2 linked regions of the Lepisosteus oculatus genome follow. The protein of the gene in region 1 interacts with the protein of each later gene in a biochemical or structural test. Links are inferred from orthologs where the notes say so. Each region holds a gene or a part of one and is shown on either strand. Other genes may lie near its edges.

What was found. The genes of interacting proteins can lie anywhere in the genome.
Region 2: of the proteins of uba1 (region 1) and ube2kb, one has a biochemical effect on the other in vitro, tested with the Homo sapiens proteins (9 studies listed by BioGRID, with this or other methods). The link is inferred for Lepisosteus oculatus from reciprocal best matches to the Homo sapiens genes UBA1 and UBE2K.

The regions. Positions count from the first base shown.
Region 1 is NC_090697.1:77,869,641-77,877,652, forward strand, and holds the start of uba1 (ubiquitin-like modifier-activating enzyme 1), read left to right. Parts: upstream 1-4,995; 5' UTR 4,996-5,165; intron 5,166-8,012. Other genes in the region: camkvl (caM kinase-like vesicle-associated, like), read left to right, coding at 1,700-2,776. UniProt on the Homo sapiens protein: Catalyzes the first step in ubiquitin conjugation to mark cellular proteins for degradation through the ubiquitin-proteasome system.
Region 2 is NC_090696.1:68,331,656-68,339,360, reverse strand, and holds the start of ube2kb (ubiquitin-conjugating enzyme E2Kb (UBC1 homolog, yeast)), read left to right. Parts: upstream 1-4,687; 5' UTR 4,688-4,782; coding exon 4,783-4,845; intron 4,846-7,705. UniProt on the Homo sapiens protein: Accepts ubiquitin from the E1 complex and catalyzes its covalent attachment to other proteins. In vitro, in the presence or in the absence of BRCA1-BARD1 E3 ubiquitin-protein ligase complex, catalyzes the synthesis of 'Lys-48'-linked polyubiquitin chains.

The sequences.
Region 1 (8,012 bases):
GGAGGTGACACCTCCTGCAGCGACAGTGCAGGCAAGTGCAGAGAGTTGTGCTCGGCAGGTACAGCAGTGATGACCTCAGCGAAGGGACGAGTCACCCAGACAAGGAGCACAGAGCCGGGAGGAGACCCTTCTGGTCACCAGCAGTGATGGATAAAGACAGTAGAGCTCCCCTCTCCACAGCTGATGGAAAACTGAAAAAAGTGTCCTGCTTCATCCCTGCTCTCCAACACATCTAATGGGGTCTCCATGTGTTTGTGAAGGGAAACATACTTGGGATACATAATGGGTCTGCATTGTGTATCAGTATCTCTTCCTTTTGGTCTTGAAAGACAGAGAGAGCCCTGGAGCATTTTTGAAAACTCAGAGATGTTGACTGGAGAATCTGTAGACAGGGGGTACATCTGCACACACACAGACACACGAACACTCACAGACAGAGAGACAGACACACGAGCAATCACACACAGACACACGGACACTCACACACAAAGACAGTCACACGAACACTCACAGTCACACAGACACATGAAAACACACACACAGATACACAAACACTCACAGACACAACAGACAAACAAACACACAAACACTCACACGCAGATATTCTTGCACATGCATTCAAAGCTGGGGAGCCACACAGGAATCTCAAGCACATGTTCCTTCTCTTTGAAGACCAATGAGGTTCATCGCATCCATTATGTCCGCAGAGTGGCCAGTCACCCGAGCAGGGCATCGGCGCCACGGTCCAGCCCAGCCCAGCCTCCCGCAGTCTGGAGCTCCACGCTGATTACCTGCTTGATCACTGGAGTGACTCTGGGCCAATGGAGGCTGAGCTGCTCTCTGACCATGAGCCGTGTCTCTACGGCCACAGTCAGAGGTCCCATACTAACAGTGCCGGGAGCTGCCAGTTCAGCACGTTGTCACTCCAGCCAGCAGTGGGGGCACTGAGAGAAAAGTGTTCCCCTGATCAGACAGTCTCTTTGGCCCCTCCGCTCTGCAGAGAGCAGCTGGGCCATGCCTGCCCAGAGGAGGGTGTGGGCGGGTGGCCGGTGTCACCTGGCGCAGGCTGGTGTCCTGGCCAGATGTGGTCACAGCTGCACTCCTCTGCAGGGCAGGAGAAGGTCTGGACGAATCCTCTTATGGTGGAGCAGCTTCAGCTTTGCTGTTCAGGTGGTTTCTTTGCAGCTTCCTTGTCTCTGCCCATCGAAGTCCAACACTGTATGACATTGTGCCTTAACGTCATTTAGAAAAGTAGGAGATCACCCTTTAACCACAACATGCTCAGTCTTAGTAATGTTCACCTACTAACACGTGTCGGATTTGTCAGGACCTGTCTTCCTGCTCCATCTGGTTAATGAATTGCAATGCTGGCCAGTACTTTAGGACCAGACTACTGTGTCCGACCAGTACGTGTCTGTATAGACGTCCGGGTCAACTGGACCTCCTGCTCAGAACTGGCCGGCACTGACAGCCTGAAATCCAGCTGAGCTCTGCAGGGGCCCTGGCCACAAAGCGAGCAATTGTGTCCTCCTGGACATGCTCGTTTCAAGCAATTAATCTGGGGATTGAGCAGCTGAAATGTATTCTGAGGAGGTCGTTAAGACAATGGCTGTGGCTTTTAAGCCAGGCTGTTCTGGGGCCTCAGCTGGCTGTCCCCAGGCGGCGAGGTGGTCCTGTAACCTGCCTGTTGTCCCCACAGAAGGCCATCCGAGTGACCACCTTCATGCAGCGCCTGCGCGCCCCCGAGGCCGGCAGCGGGGGCGAGGGGGGGGCGCGCCTGGCCGTCACCCCCCGCACGTCCATGAGTGTTTCCCACAAGGTGACGGTGGAGAGCCGGCCGGAGCAGGCCGGGATTCCCAGCAGCCTGTCGGTGGGGGTCTCCCCGACCTCCACCACGGACCCCCTTCCTGCAGGCGATCTTGGGCTGCAGCCAGAGGGGGGGGCGGCCAGCGACAGCGCGGGGACGACGGCGGCCAGCCTGGGGCCGGACAAGCCCAGAGCGCCCCCCGACAAGCCCCCCCCTTCGCCCCGCGTCGAGACCAGGAGGGTCCCAGACCGCGGCACCAAGGTGATCGTACTGGAGCACCCGGCCAGCCCCGGGGAGACGAGGTCGGGGTGCCCCCCGGACACCCCCAACAGGCGCAAGATGGCAGCTGTCCTGCACCGCTCTGCGGACGACACCGCCTCCCCGGCGGACCCGGAGACGAGGGCCGGGGGGCCGGCAGCGCGCCGGGGGGCCGCGGGGGGAGGGGCCGGGGACACGCCCGGGCTCCGGCCGGAGAAGGGGGACCGGGGCGCCGGCGGGGGTGGGAGGAGAGCCGGCGCGGCGGAGAGCTGGTGCCAGACACAGCTGCCCGAGGCCGTGGCGGAGAGGAGGGGCGCAAGGGAGCCCCAGGACGGGAGCCCCGGACGCAGGGACCCCGGCGCGGCCAGGGGCTCCCCGGGCGCGGCGCACCGCAAGACCGTGCCCGTCCAGGGGCAGCGCGAGGCCGCCGGCGACTGGCACATGGACAGCGTGATCGAGCAGATCGAGAAGCAGATGGCCGCAGTGCTGGAGAAGATCGAGGGCGACATGCCTTCCCTGCTGGAGCAAATCAGCGACCGGCCCTCCCCAGCGCGCGCCCCCCTGGCCCCCGCCACGCGCCCCAGCCTGCCCCCCTTCCCCCACCTCACCATCCCGCCCTGCACAGCCCCCCCGCCCCCCCCGCCGGAGCCGGAGCCAGGAGAGCAGCCGGAGGGTGAGGCCGGACCCGGCCAGTCGCAGAGAGGCTTGTGATCCAGCACACAGGGAAGCACTCTGGGAAATGCCACTCATGGCGATATACGGATACACTATTTTTCTTCTCTGTCTCCTGTTTTGTGTTTGCCCTTCTGAAGGTGTTCCTGCCCCTCCCTGTGCCTCTCCCGCCCGGCGGCCCAGCATGCCCCTCTGCGCTCCGCTGTGTTCTCTCCCACCCCAGCGGCACACCTGTTCTCTGACAATTTTTTGCATCTGTCAGCAGTTCTTTCAATAAAACTCTCAAGCAAAGCGCTGTGACAGTCTTCCCTTCCTGTCTGTGTGCGTGTCTGCGTCGCTGTCCGCCGGCCAGATGAATCCCGCTGGCCAGCGCAGGTCAGTCTCCGGGCTGGAGCTGCTCACCTCTGACCCCACGCACCCCGGTTTCTGTCCCAGTGGACACCCAGCTCCAGGCTCAGGCTCTGCCCCAGCCTGTCCCATTTCCCTGTGTGGACAGAGGAGAGACCGGGGGCCTGTCAGTCAGCTGAAAGGGCGGGTCCCTCAGCACTCAGGCAGGTGGGACTCGGGGTGCCAGCAGTGACTAGGCCGACAGCAGTCTCGTGAAGGACAGGTGAGGAAGCACCTCTTGTGCAGAGTACTGACGCCACAGAAGTCCGATCGCACACACTCGCTGATCCCGATACAGTAAAGGCAGAGGAAAACACACGCTGGATTATTTACAGTAACGCCTGGCTATGCACTTTCCTGCACAGCCAGTGTGGGACACTCCGTTCAGACTAAAGAGACTCAGTTCCTGTAGCCTGTCAGTGTGGGACACTCAGCAGACTAAAGAAACTCAGTCCCTCCAGCCTCTCAGTGTGGGACAATCCCTTCAGACTAAAGAGACTCAGTCCCTCCAGCCTGTCAGTGTGGGACAGTCCCTTCAGACTAAAGAGACTCAGTCCCTCCAGCCTGTCAGAGTAGGACACTTACTTCAGACTAAAGAGACTCTGTTCCTGCAGCCTCTCAGCAGCCATATCACCCTGCAGCTCAGAACTGGGAGCCTACTGGAGCCCAGCAGGTGTGAGCCTGGTCAGTATCTGGATGGGAGATCTCCTGGGAAAAACTAAGGTTGCTGCTGGAAGAGGTGTTAGTGGGGCCAGCAGGGGGCGCTCACCCTGTGGTCAGTGTGGGCCCTAATGCTCCACTATAGTCATGGGGACACTATACTGTAAAAAGGCCATCTCTGAACTGGCTTCACCACTCTGCTCTGCTCATCACCGATAGCTGGTGTGTGGGGAACGTACTGGTGCACTCTGGCTGCTGTCACATCATCCAGGTGGGGGTGGAGGGGATCCCCATTACCTGTAAAGCGCTTTGAGTTGAGTGTCCAGAGATGTGCTATGTAAGTGTGATGAAGCCAGTTCAGAAATGGGGATTATTAGAAGGCCATGATTGGTGAGGGCCAATGGGAAATTAGTCCAGGACACCAGGGTAACACCCCTACTCTTTTTGAGAAACACTTGGGATTTTTAATGACCACAGAGAGTTAGGACCTCAGTTTTATGTCTTATCTGAAGAATGGCACCTTTTTATAGTATAGTGTCCCCATCACTATACTGGGGCATTAGGACCCACTCAGACCGCAGGGTGAGCGCCCCCTGCTGGCCCCACTAACACATCTTCCAGCAGCAGGAGTTTGTCCCAGGAGGTCTCCCATCCAGGTACTGACCTGCTGGGCTCCAGTGGGCTCCCAGGTGTGAGTTGCTGGGTGACATAGCTGCACACTCATGCAACTAATTTGCGCTATTAGCCAAGGTGCGCGGGAGCTCGTGTCTGAGGCGGTTCGCGTGTGCTGGCCGGCAGGACCGCGTGCCTCCGCCTGGACCCTCCACGATGACATTCTGAAACCGTTACCTCACATTTCAAATCTGCGCTTCAACATGACCGTCGGCACCAACAGACCGGCTCGCCACCGGGCAGCAGAGCCGGACTACAACTCCCAGCAGCCTGCGCGGCAGCGCTCGGACCGGGAGGACCCAAGCCATGCGAACAGAAGGGGGGGCGAGAGTCCTAGTTGTGTAAATAATTTTAGAGCTCCCACCAGTATTATGGAGAAATACACAGAAAGTCACTAAACTTTAAGACTGTGTTAAAGTCTTTGATTCCGTACAATGTGAGTCTTGTACGCCGTCGTGCGTAAATGTATTTTTCTCTGTTTCTCCCCCATCTCAAGATGGTGGCGCGGCCCCCCGTCGGAGCCCCTCTGTCCGCACATGTTGCTTTATTCTCGCTGCGCTGCTGGGAACCGGCGAGCCGCCTGTCTCTTCCCGTGTGAGAAGCCACCGAGCTCCCGCCTTCGCCGTCAGCTCCCACGGGGGGTTCTCTCTGTCTGCTCGCCCTTTCGATTTTAAACACCGAGGAGCAGGTCTTAGCAAGATCGGATGTGGTGAGTGCGACGCCTGCTCGCGTTGGACCCCGGGCCGGGGGCCGGGAAGACAAAGCTGAACCGTGCTGGCAGGTTTGGGGGCGAGGGGGGATGGGGAGCGCGGGGAGTGAGGGCGAAGGGCTGAGGGTGTTATTTATGCACTGGGTGTTCCTGCCCGACCCGGTGCTGCCTGCTGCCGGAGCCGAGGATGGAGCTCAAGTTGCTGCCCAAGTTTCGGAGCTGCTCGCCACCCCGGCGCCCGGCCACCTGTGCGGCGGGCAGTGTCCGGGCCGAGGGGGCCGGGGCAGGGGCCGGGGAGGGAGCCGGCGTCCCAGCCGGGGCCGGGCGAGCCCCAGGCCGCAGGGAGAGGGGTCCGAGCCGGGGGGAGGCGCCCGGCTGGGCCTTTCATTGTTGTGTAGCGGTTCCCGGTCTGCACGGCGGATCTGAGCGCCAGCCCGCAGACTTGCAGCCCACGTCTGCTTTGTTTGTGCTGCCCGAGGTCGCGGTCCCTGCTCCACGGGTGCAGTGTTTTCCCGGGTGGCTGGGCTCCCCACGAGTGGACGTGGGCTGTCATGACGTGCCTCTCGCTACGGGTTCTCGTGCAGGAGGGGCGACGCAGCTCCCTGCTCAAGTGCGTCAACATACTCTTTTCCCTTCATCCTCTCTAAACACACTGTACCTCAGCTCTAACCACTAGCCCACACTGCCTCCCTCTCTCTCCCCCAGTGCCTCAGCTCTAACCACTAGCCCACACTGCCTCCCTCTCTCTCTCTCAGTGCCTCAGCTCTAACCACTAGCCCACACTGCCTCCCTCTCTCTCTCTCTCTCCCAGTGCCTCAGCTCTAACCACTAGCCCACACTGCCTCTCTCCCTCCCAGTGCTTCGGCTCTAACCACTAGCCCACACTGCCTCCCTCTCTCTCTCCCAGTGCCTCGGCTCTAACCACTAGCCCACACTGCCTCCCTCTCTCTCCCCCAGTGCCTCGGCTCTAACCACTAGCCCACACTGCCTCCCTCTGTCTCTCTTTCCCCCAGTGCCTCAGCTCTAACCACTAGCCCACACTGCCTCCCTCTCTCTGTCCCAGTGCCTCGGCTCTAACCACTAGCCCACACTGCCTCCCTCTCTCTGTCCCAGTGCCTCAGCTCTAACCACTAGCCCACACTGCCTCCCTCTCTCTCTCTCCCAGTGCCTCAGCTCTAACCACTAGCCCACACTGCCTCCCTCTCTCTCTCTCCCAGTGCCTCAGCTCTAACCACTAGCACACACTGCCTCTCTCTCTCTCTGTCCCAGTCCCTCAGCTCTAACCACTAGCCCACACTGCCTCTCTCTCTCTCTGTCCCAGTCCCTCAGCTCTAACCACTAGCCCACACTGCCTCCCTCTCTCTCTCTCCCAGTGCCTCAGCTCTAACCACTAGCCCACACTGCCTCCCTCTCTCTCTCTCCCAGTGCCTCAGCTCTAGCCACTAGCTCACACTGCCTCCCTCTCTCTCTCCCAATCCCTCAGCTCTATCCACTAGCCCACACTGCCTCCCTCCCCAAGGCCTCAGCCCTCACCAGTGGGACGTGTTCAGAGTGGGTTGGACAGAGCTTTTGGACATCAGCCTGTGGCCGTGATTGTGGGCAGCAAGACAGAACCTGATCAGTGAATTTGATTGTTTGTGTACGGCGAGTGACATGCAGCTCAGTCCCTGGTGTAGTTGAATAGCAGTGCAGTTAGGAGGACCAGGTCTGTCAGGGTTACAGTCGCTGGTCCTGGTGTTTGTGTTCTGTGGGCTCTGCTGCTGGCTGTCTTGACCTGCTGATGAACAGAAACAGCACGCCGAGTCCAGGAGAGGGGCAGTGGTATGAGAGCAGCCCGGTCCGGGGCTCGCTGGCTCCACCGAGCCGGTTCTACATGACTGTTTCAGGGCCCCAGGGGGAGCGAGATGATGATGATGATGATGTTGGGGTTGAGGAAGGGTGTCACCCTGTGATTGATGACTGTGTTGTTGATGACCATATCTGTGGTTACTCAGTGGAGTTCTGGGTCACACTGTTTCTGGCTAAAGACTGTGGACGGTATATTTACACCGACACGCTTGGGACATCTTGCCAAACTGCTGGAGAGTGCCTTCTCCTACGGTAATGGACTTGGAACCATTTATTAATGAGATGGGCCAGGTGGGCCTGGTCGCTTACTGAGTGAAGAGACGGCCCTGAGGATCCCAGCGGAGCTCCTGGCTGGGCTTCATCCCAACTGGCAACATAAGGCATCCAGCAGCCTGACAACTCCCCTGCGGGCTCTGGGGGGTGAGTCTCCAGGGGTGTCCAGTCCAGGTCCTGAGGGGCCGGTCAGTGTGCCTGCTCCAGGGGTGTCCAGTCCTGGTCCTGGGGGGCCGGTCAGTGTGTCTGCAGGTCCCTTTAAAGAGCAGCTGGGAGAATCTGTCACATTGGTCCAGTAGGTCTAGTAACCAGCTGGCTTGGAATGAGAACCGACCCCACCAGGACCGGACTGGCCACACTGCTGAGACACTGACCCCACCAGGACCGGACTGGCCACACTGCTGACACACTGACCCCACCAGGACCGGACTGGCCACACTGCTGACACACTGACCCCACCAGGACCGGACTGGCCACACTGCTGAGACACTGACCCCACCAGGACCGGACTGGCCACACTGCTGAGACACTGACCCCACCAGGACCGGACTGGCCACACTGCTGACACTGACCCCACCAGGACCGGACTGGCCACACTGCTGACACTGACCCCACCAGGACCGGACTGGCCACACTGCTGAGACACTGACCCCACCAGGACCGGACTGGCCACACTGCTGACACACTGACCCCACCAGGACCGGACTGGCCACACTGCTGACACAC
Region 2 (7,705 bases), on another chromosome or scaffold:
GCCCCGACAGTAACCCAAGCGTCCGGTCTGCGTATTTTTAGCTGTCTGTTGACCTGCAAGTGGCGTCTCGCACGGCCTCGTAACGCTGAGCATAGCCGCTGATGCGTAGATTAAAGATCCGTTGGTCCTACAGATACAGATGTGCAGGCGCTGGAGGCTTGGGTGGCGCTGAGGGATGCAAATATTTGCTCTCCTTCTCACAGGGTGCTTTTATTCAAATAAAGTATCTTAAAAAGGTGGAATTTTTTTAAAAAAAACCCACACGTAACAGTTAAGTTCTTTTACGTGTCTTGCTGATACGAGGACGAAACGTGTAAAGAAAAATCGCGGAGGCTGAATTATTACAGAGCATTGCGGATCGGCACGTATTGGGCCACTGAGACCTGCAGTACCAGTACTGCTACTTTGTGATCAATCCTTTTTACATTTTCTTGTAGCGTGTTATTATGAAGAATATGGTAATGACGCTTACCAATCACTTAATATCGAAATTCTAACAAAGCTTCATTCATTGTGTTTTTTTTTTCAAATTGTTCCAAGTATGACGATGAACTTGACAGAAGACATTGTCACATGCTTCATCTTTCCGGAATTGCTTTGCATACTTGTGAGGAAACACCTTTCTGAGCAGGTGCTTTTGTTTTTAAATTTTGACAAACGAAAATGAGGACAGAGGAACAGAGACAGTAGTCGTAGCGACCCCCCGCCCCCCCCGGAGGTATTTAGTTAAAATCTGACTGAGACCTTGCAAATTAATTATTGGCTGGAGTTTTCAATCTGGATTACTTAAAATTCCTCATGACCAGAGGGTTCTCAGGCAACCATTTTAAAAGTACAGTAGCGTCTGTACATCCTCCGGATGAGACGTAAAACCGAGGTCCTGACTCTCTGTGGTCATTAAAAATCCCAGAGCGTTTCTCGAAAAGAGTAGGGATGTAACCCCGGCGTCCTGGCCAAATTTCCCATTGGCCCTTACCAATCATGGCCTCGTAATAATCCCCCTCTGTGAATTGGCTTCATTACTCGGCTCTCCTCCCCACTGATAGCTGGTGTGTGGTGAGCGTTCTGGCGCACTATGGCTGCCGTCGCATCATCCAGGTGGATGTTGCACATTGGTGGTGGTGGAGGGGATCCCCATTACCTGTAAAGCGCTTTGAGTGGAGTGTCCAGAAAAACACTATATAAGTTTAAGCAATTATTATTATTATTATTATTATTATTATTATAAATAGAGAGAAGACAGGAAGACGTATGAATGTATGACACTGAAAAGCAAAATAAAAACAAAGTGGATAATTTGGGAAATCTGAATAAAAAACATAAGTTTAATGCAGCGATCTTTCATTGGTCAAGACCTCTGTGAGTCACCTCTGCGGGGATAATAAAATAAGATCCATCAAGCCATTCTTTTGCAGGATTTTAGCTCATGCAGCCTTTTTATTATTTATTGCAGGTCACATACAATTGAGAAGCTGGTGTGGCACAGGTCCATAGCCCCTTCGGGCTTATTAGTCAAAGAGAAGAAGGTTGGACAGTGAAAAGGAACACTTTTTCTCTTGCCAGCATTGTCCTAGTGTTTAAAGTCTTGTTTTTGGCTGGGCTTCTCCATGATCTTCAAGTTGTTGCAAGTTCTGCTCAGGGCCGTGTCCCAGCCAGCTGTGACATAAGAGATCACTTTGATGGCCAAATACATTTTCTTATATTATGAATTTGTCTTTTCACATACCTCAGCTTGAACATACTGTACCTCTTCATGCGACACACAGACAGGGAGAGAAGCTTGGGGTCAGAGCACAGAGTCAGCCATTTATGTAGGTTTAAGATAAGATTTTTATTTATTATTATTCCCCTGAGGGACATTTTTTATTTAAGCTCTTTTTCTCCACTTGACTTGCTTTTTCCATAATTTTTGGTTTTCCTGACCTGTCATTCCAGAGAAAAGTATGGCATGTTATTTTCTGTGCTTCCTCACCGAATGAACTTGCATGCACATCTCCATTCACCCTAAACAACTAGGGAAGGGGGGGATGAAATTCAATAGAGCTGGTATCCCAATATGTAATCTCCTGTCACAGTCTGAGGAACTAAGAGAAAGTTTCAATACAATATTATATCATTGTCCGGAATGTGTGTTAATGTTTACTAATTGATATTGCTTGGCAGCAGGGCATTTCAAAAGTCACACCAATAAAGTTATTTGAATGTGACATTAACAAAATAAGAGTATAGTATTTACAGCTGAAACTCCAGAGCTGTTAGGTGGATGGTTTCACTCTCACCACAGGTGCAACAGCTGTATATAAGTATATGTATGTATGTATAAGTTAATTTGAAGTAGAAAAATTTGATGCCCATTGTATTGTCTAAACAGGGGTGATGCAACTTTCCTAAGCTGCAATCTGGTTTTTAAAATACAGACTAAGCAACAGGGACTTAAATGGTAGTAACTGTTTTAAAGAGAAAATAATATAAAACACAAAAACAGGTGTATATGGACTCGAGCCACTTTCCAAACGAGTCACTTTGTCAAAGTTTGGGTTTTCAAGGTGTACTTTGAAATTCTTTGTGAATATTACAGAGTTGACTCAGATGAAGCAAGGTGAATTCAGGGGCCAAGATGGTGTTGTGAGAAATCAACATTTGTTCTTTTCACATTTAGTATGGAGCTATAATGTACATGTAAATATGGAGGCATTACTGCTGACTTGGCTTCTGTGAGATAACCATGAGATCGTTAACAAGCCTTTTTCTTCTGCAATGAGGAAGTATGCCTGCAGTTCAGACTGCAGCTTTCGCTTAAAACATGACCTGCATAGACCCACACATGCAAATAAGTGCCGGCTTTGCATAGGAGACTAGTTTCCCCGACTCTATGTTTAAAAAAAAAGCTGATTTTGATTCTGGAATTTAAACTTTTAAATTCCAAAATAATTCTCAAAGGAATTGCTCTTCCGTGTTTTTTTTTTTTTGAGCCGTTAAGGAGACACAACAGCAAATCCTTTTTTTCGTGAGTAACAGAAACAATCTAAAGAGCGGAACTTTTGGGGTCTCCCCAAAGCCCCTGTGGACATATTCTTGGGCCTCCTCCTCGTAATCATGATCTTTTCAACTTTACATTCAATCAAAGGAGTTTAGTGTGGGTCCAATGCAGCACTCAAATGATATCATTGCCATCTGACCAGACATACTCTTTATTAAGTGTAATAATTCGGGCTCTGACAGGGAATGTCAGCATCCAAAGCGAAGCTCTCACACAAAACCTTAGGAACAAAACAGAAAGATGTTAGCTTTTTCTGTAACATTGTTAAATAATGATCATTGTTTGCATGTCGCTTTTGTGAATCATATCTTGTGTGCAGCGTGGAGACTATTCTGGATTCCTCTGTGATTAACTTTGGATTGGGCCGTACTTGTGTAGCATTGTTAAAGGGTTTGAACTTCAGGGCTATTCTGTCACATTCTGTATGCTCATATGAAATTTTCAGGATACAATAAATAAATATGGCGCTCGGGGTTGTATTATTGGCAACTGTCTTCTCGGTGGTTCTCTCTTACTTGCCCTGCTGTACTCTTTGTTATCCATTTTGTGTTGTGTATCAGTACTGCACAAGGTCAAAAGGTCAGTGCTTCACTGATGGACTGCTGAATATGCTGCACCACTAATCTCTAGCCCATTGTTACTTCCTGGAGGCCTAGATTTCAGAGAGATGTTTTGGGGAGTAGTTTGGAGTGGTTATTCGGAGTGGTAAAAACAGCAATCTAGAATTGTTCTATGTAGACCTAATGAGACATGAATTAAGTCTGAGGTAGTTAGCAGTATTTCTGTTTTTTTTTTATCCAGTCATAAACGTTATTCAGTTATAGTATTGGAACTCTTCTTAGGTACTTAATTGAACCACGGTTCTGACAAATATGAGTCACATTGATTATGTTTTTGCTTTATGACACTTTAAAACTGGATCTTGTCACATGTCAGAAGCTAAGCAAGACTTGGCCTCGTCAGTAAAAGGAAAATTAGATGGCTGACAGAACTTGTTTTGGTACATCAGTAGGTGGCACTCTTCCCTATTAGATGAGAGGGCAAGGTGCTGTAAAGATCGAAATCTTTCAAATGAGACTTTTCATAGGCCCCTCTGTACTTGTCACATTAACATTTCGTACAGCACTTTTTTACAACTAAAATGGTCCCGCGTTCCTCCGTTTGTAGTACATATTGCCACACACTCGGTTAATCATTCGGCAAAAATATCGTTCACTGAATTTCATGTTCGTGTATGTAGTGGGTGGAAACGTAGATAAAATGTAAATAAAATACAAATATAAAAAGCACAAAATTAAATATGTGCAAAAGATGGGCCCTATCTCGAACATCACACCTGGAAGGAAAAAAACAAATCGATTACAAAAATAAGCTAAGCAGGTTATGCTCCAGCACCTATTTCAGTTGAGTAGTGACATTATTATAATAAAACGCCTAGCTTTGACTGTGTAGCCCCGGAATGGGAAAACGCCATTAAGCAGAGCTCCTCTCCTCGGAATCCGTAAAAACATGACACATATTACATCTCAGAATACCTAGCATATCCCTGAAGGAAGTTGTTTTATTCCAGTTTGTAACATATTGTTCTTTTGGCACAGTGCGCAGACTCCGCGGATCGCCATTTGTGTGCGGGTAGGGGGGGGGGGTGTCTGTTTTTGTTGTAAAAAAAAAAGAGGAGCAGAGCGACGCTGCAGCTGTAGGCCTGTATCAGCAAACAGCGACAGAGAGGAGACGGCAAAGCCATGGCCAACATCGCAGTGCAGAGGATCAAACGAGAGTTCAAAGAGGTCCTTAAAAGCGAAGAGGTTAGCCATTCTTGCTTCTCTGAACGCTTGAGCCACGTACACGACACTCAGATAAGAAAAAAATAGAGAGTAATTTAACAGTTGAAAAAGGGCTACCGAGGCCCCGGGAAGGGGAAGTTAATGTCATCCCGACCGGGGCCGTCCAGAGGGGGCAGCTCCTAGGGCTGACGGAGACGGCCGGGGAGGGGTTCAGGAAATACCGGGGATCAGGAAGGAGGTTAGGCCGAGTGCAGGGAGTAAAATTAAAAATAAGAGCCCAGTCAGTGGGATTGGACTTCCCTGTGTTTGTGAAAGCCTTTTCGCTTATACGGTATAGTGGTTTTTTAAAAAAAATAAAAATTCCAGTGTGACGGGGGTAGTGGATTTTGTAAACTAAGCCAAAGTGACATGCTTCCTCTCTCGGTTTCGGGGGAAAAAAAGATGTCCTGGATCACTTTGTAGAAATTCAGGTTGGCGTGAAAGGGGAGCGTGGTCCTGCACCAGAACTCAAAATGTGGCTGTCATTAAGACGGGAGCTCCATTTCTGTCCCAGTTAACTACCCGATCGTGATCTCCAATCCTGATCCGGTTCTGGACAAACCCACATCCTCACTGCCACAAAGTTATGTAACAAAGCGGACGAATCCAGCGATCGCGAAGCGGCTTCCTTAGCTAAACACAGAAGCTGGTTCCTTTATTGTGGTTATCGGGGATTTTTTACGAAGCTCATCGATATTGGGTTTGAATGTTGAGAAAGCACGATCGTAAAGACTGTAACAGCTGTTGCAGAGGTGTCATCCCTTTCTCATTCACACATTTTGAACTGCAGCTCTGCCGACAACGCCATGTGTGTTGAGTGCATACAGACGTATTGAAAGTAGAGCACAGAGAAGGGGCCTGTCTCACTGTACGGATCAGGCACTCAGCATCATTGTGCTACCCTGAACACGTTATTAATCAGCCTGAACCTTTTCGTACTACCGTTTTATTACCGCCGGTTATTTCTCCGCTGTTTCAGTGCGTATAAAGATTTGCGTCCTCCTTTTGTTAGGGAGAGAAGAGCTTTGAGACTTCAATGTCAGAATATGCTTCCGTATCATGTAAAAAAATATCTTCTTATGAATCGAAATCCAGCTATCCAATATCCATCTTTTATTGTCTGAAGTCAGCAGCCACTGTTTGGAGAATAATTTGTTTTACAGCCTGAAACATTGTCGCCTCAGTTATGGTGCATCTGAGAGTCACCATTCTACAAATCATAGACATTTTAAAAGTGTCTTGCTTTATGATTGAATGTACTTCTGTAATAAAGCTAAATGAAAGCTGAGCCACCGCAAGGTAGTGCATTTCTTTAGACTCGAGGTAAAACTGTACGTCAGTGATTCCACCTCAACCTGCTCGGTAAGAATCTAAAATGAATCCTTAAGCAATTAATAAGTTTAATAAGGCAGCGATGCAGAGCAGTGGTCTGGGCTCTGGGTTCAAGACTGGAAGGATGCTGTTGTATCTTTGAGCAAAGGTACTTGATTGAAGTTGCTGCAGTAAATGCAGTGTAAATGATGCAGTATTATTGAGTCTCGAGGTCATGATTGTACAGGACTGAGAATGAAAAGTTAAAAAGAAGCTAGAATTCTGCAGCTTTTGTGTGTCTGCTCCAATTCAGATTCAGACTACAATCCTCGATAGACATGAATCTGCAGACGTGTCATAAATTCTTATCCACATACTGTATGAATGGTGCTGTTGAAATGAGACGTGTGTTAAGCTATTATACCATGTTTTGAGCATCTTTGCTAAAGGTGTGCCATTGTGCTACCACGTGTCCTGTCAGTGTTGTTGCCTGGGTCTCCTGTTCTACCTCAGGAAGACTCAGTTCAGGCAGAAGACATTTGAAGTCCCAGATGTGGCACTTCGGGATTTCAAGATTGGGAAAAAAACAACCCGAGAAAGAATTCCTGTCGTTTCCCACATTTGGAATACTTGAGCTAGCTCGTGATATTGAACACTTTTATACTTAAGCAGGGTCTTCGAGACAACAGAGGTATGACTGCCGAAGTTTCCTTGTGTTAAGGGGCGTTGAGCATACTCCTGCTTTTCTCCGTTCCGCCATTTGTTAGAGGAGATGTCCCAGGATACCAGTGGACGTTCTGCGGACAGTCTGTTCTTCTTTTATTAGTGTAGTAGGAAGAGATGAAATTCCGCACTGCAGAACATTAAAAGTACACGACATTTGTTCCCCAAAGACAAGTGTGTAGACCCTCTCAGTTTGAACAAATCCCGAAATCGGGCTCCGAAATCATGTTTTCCGAATCTTTCCCTGGTTAACTACCCTTTCTACCCCTCAGTGCTGACTGGCAATTTGAGCCAGTCATGCTAATTAGTGTACTGTGCTGTTTAATTGTAAGGTTGTTACAGTCAGATTTCAGTCTTTTGCAACGTTTGTCTCTTTGATGTTATGAAGCTAGGCTGGGTGGCTGTGAACTTCACCCAACAGCACACCACTGTCACGTTTCAGAAGAGAACTAAATCTTTTGGTGATAACTGCTGTATGTTCATTCTTATTGGTTCAGCCCTTCCCTTGACCAAGAGCAATATCTGTTGCCATCTCTTTCAGTCTTTCTTCTCTTGATTTTCTGGCTCATCACAATTGCACTTATTTACATCTTCCACATGTTGCGGTATTGTGTTACTTAAAATATTTTACCCCGTCCCATAATTCTAACCGGAATTTGTTTTTAATCTCCTCTGGTATAGGTTCTCTGGCCGTTGCTTGTGTTTTTCCTTTAGTGTGCTTCCTGACAATGTACTGTATTGTGTAATAACAGTCAAAAGGAGAGATGCAGATTTTGTTGGGTGTTAGGTATATCTAACAAGATTGCCT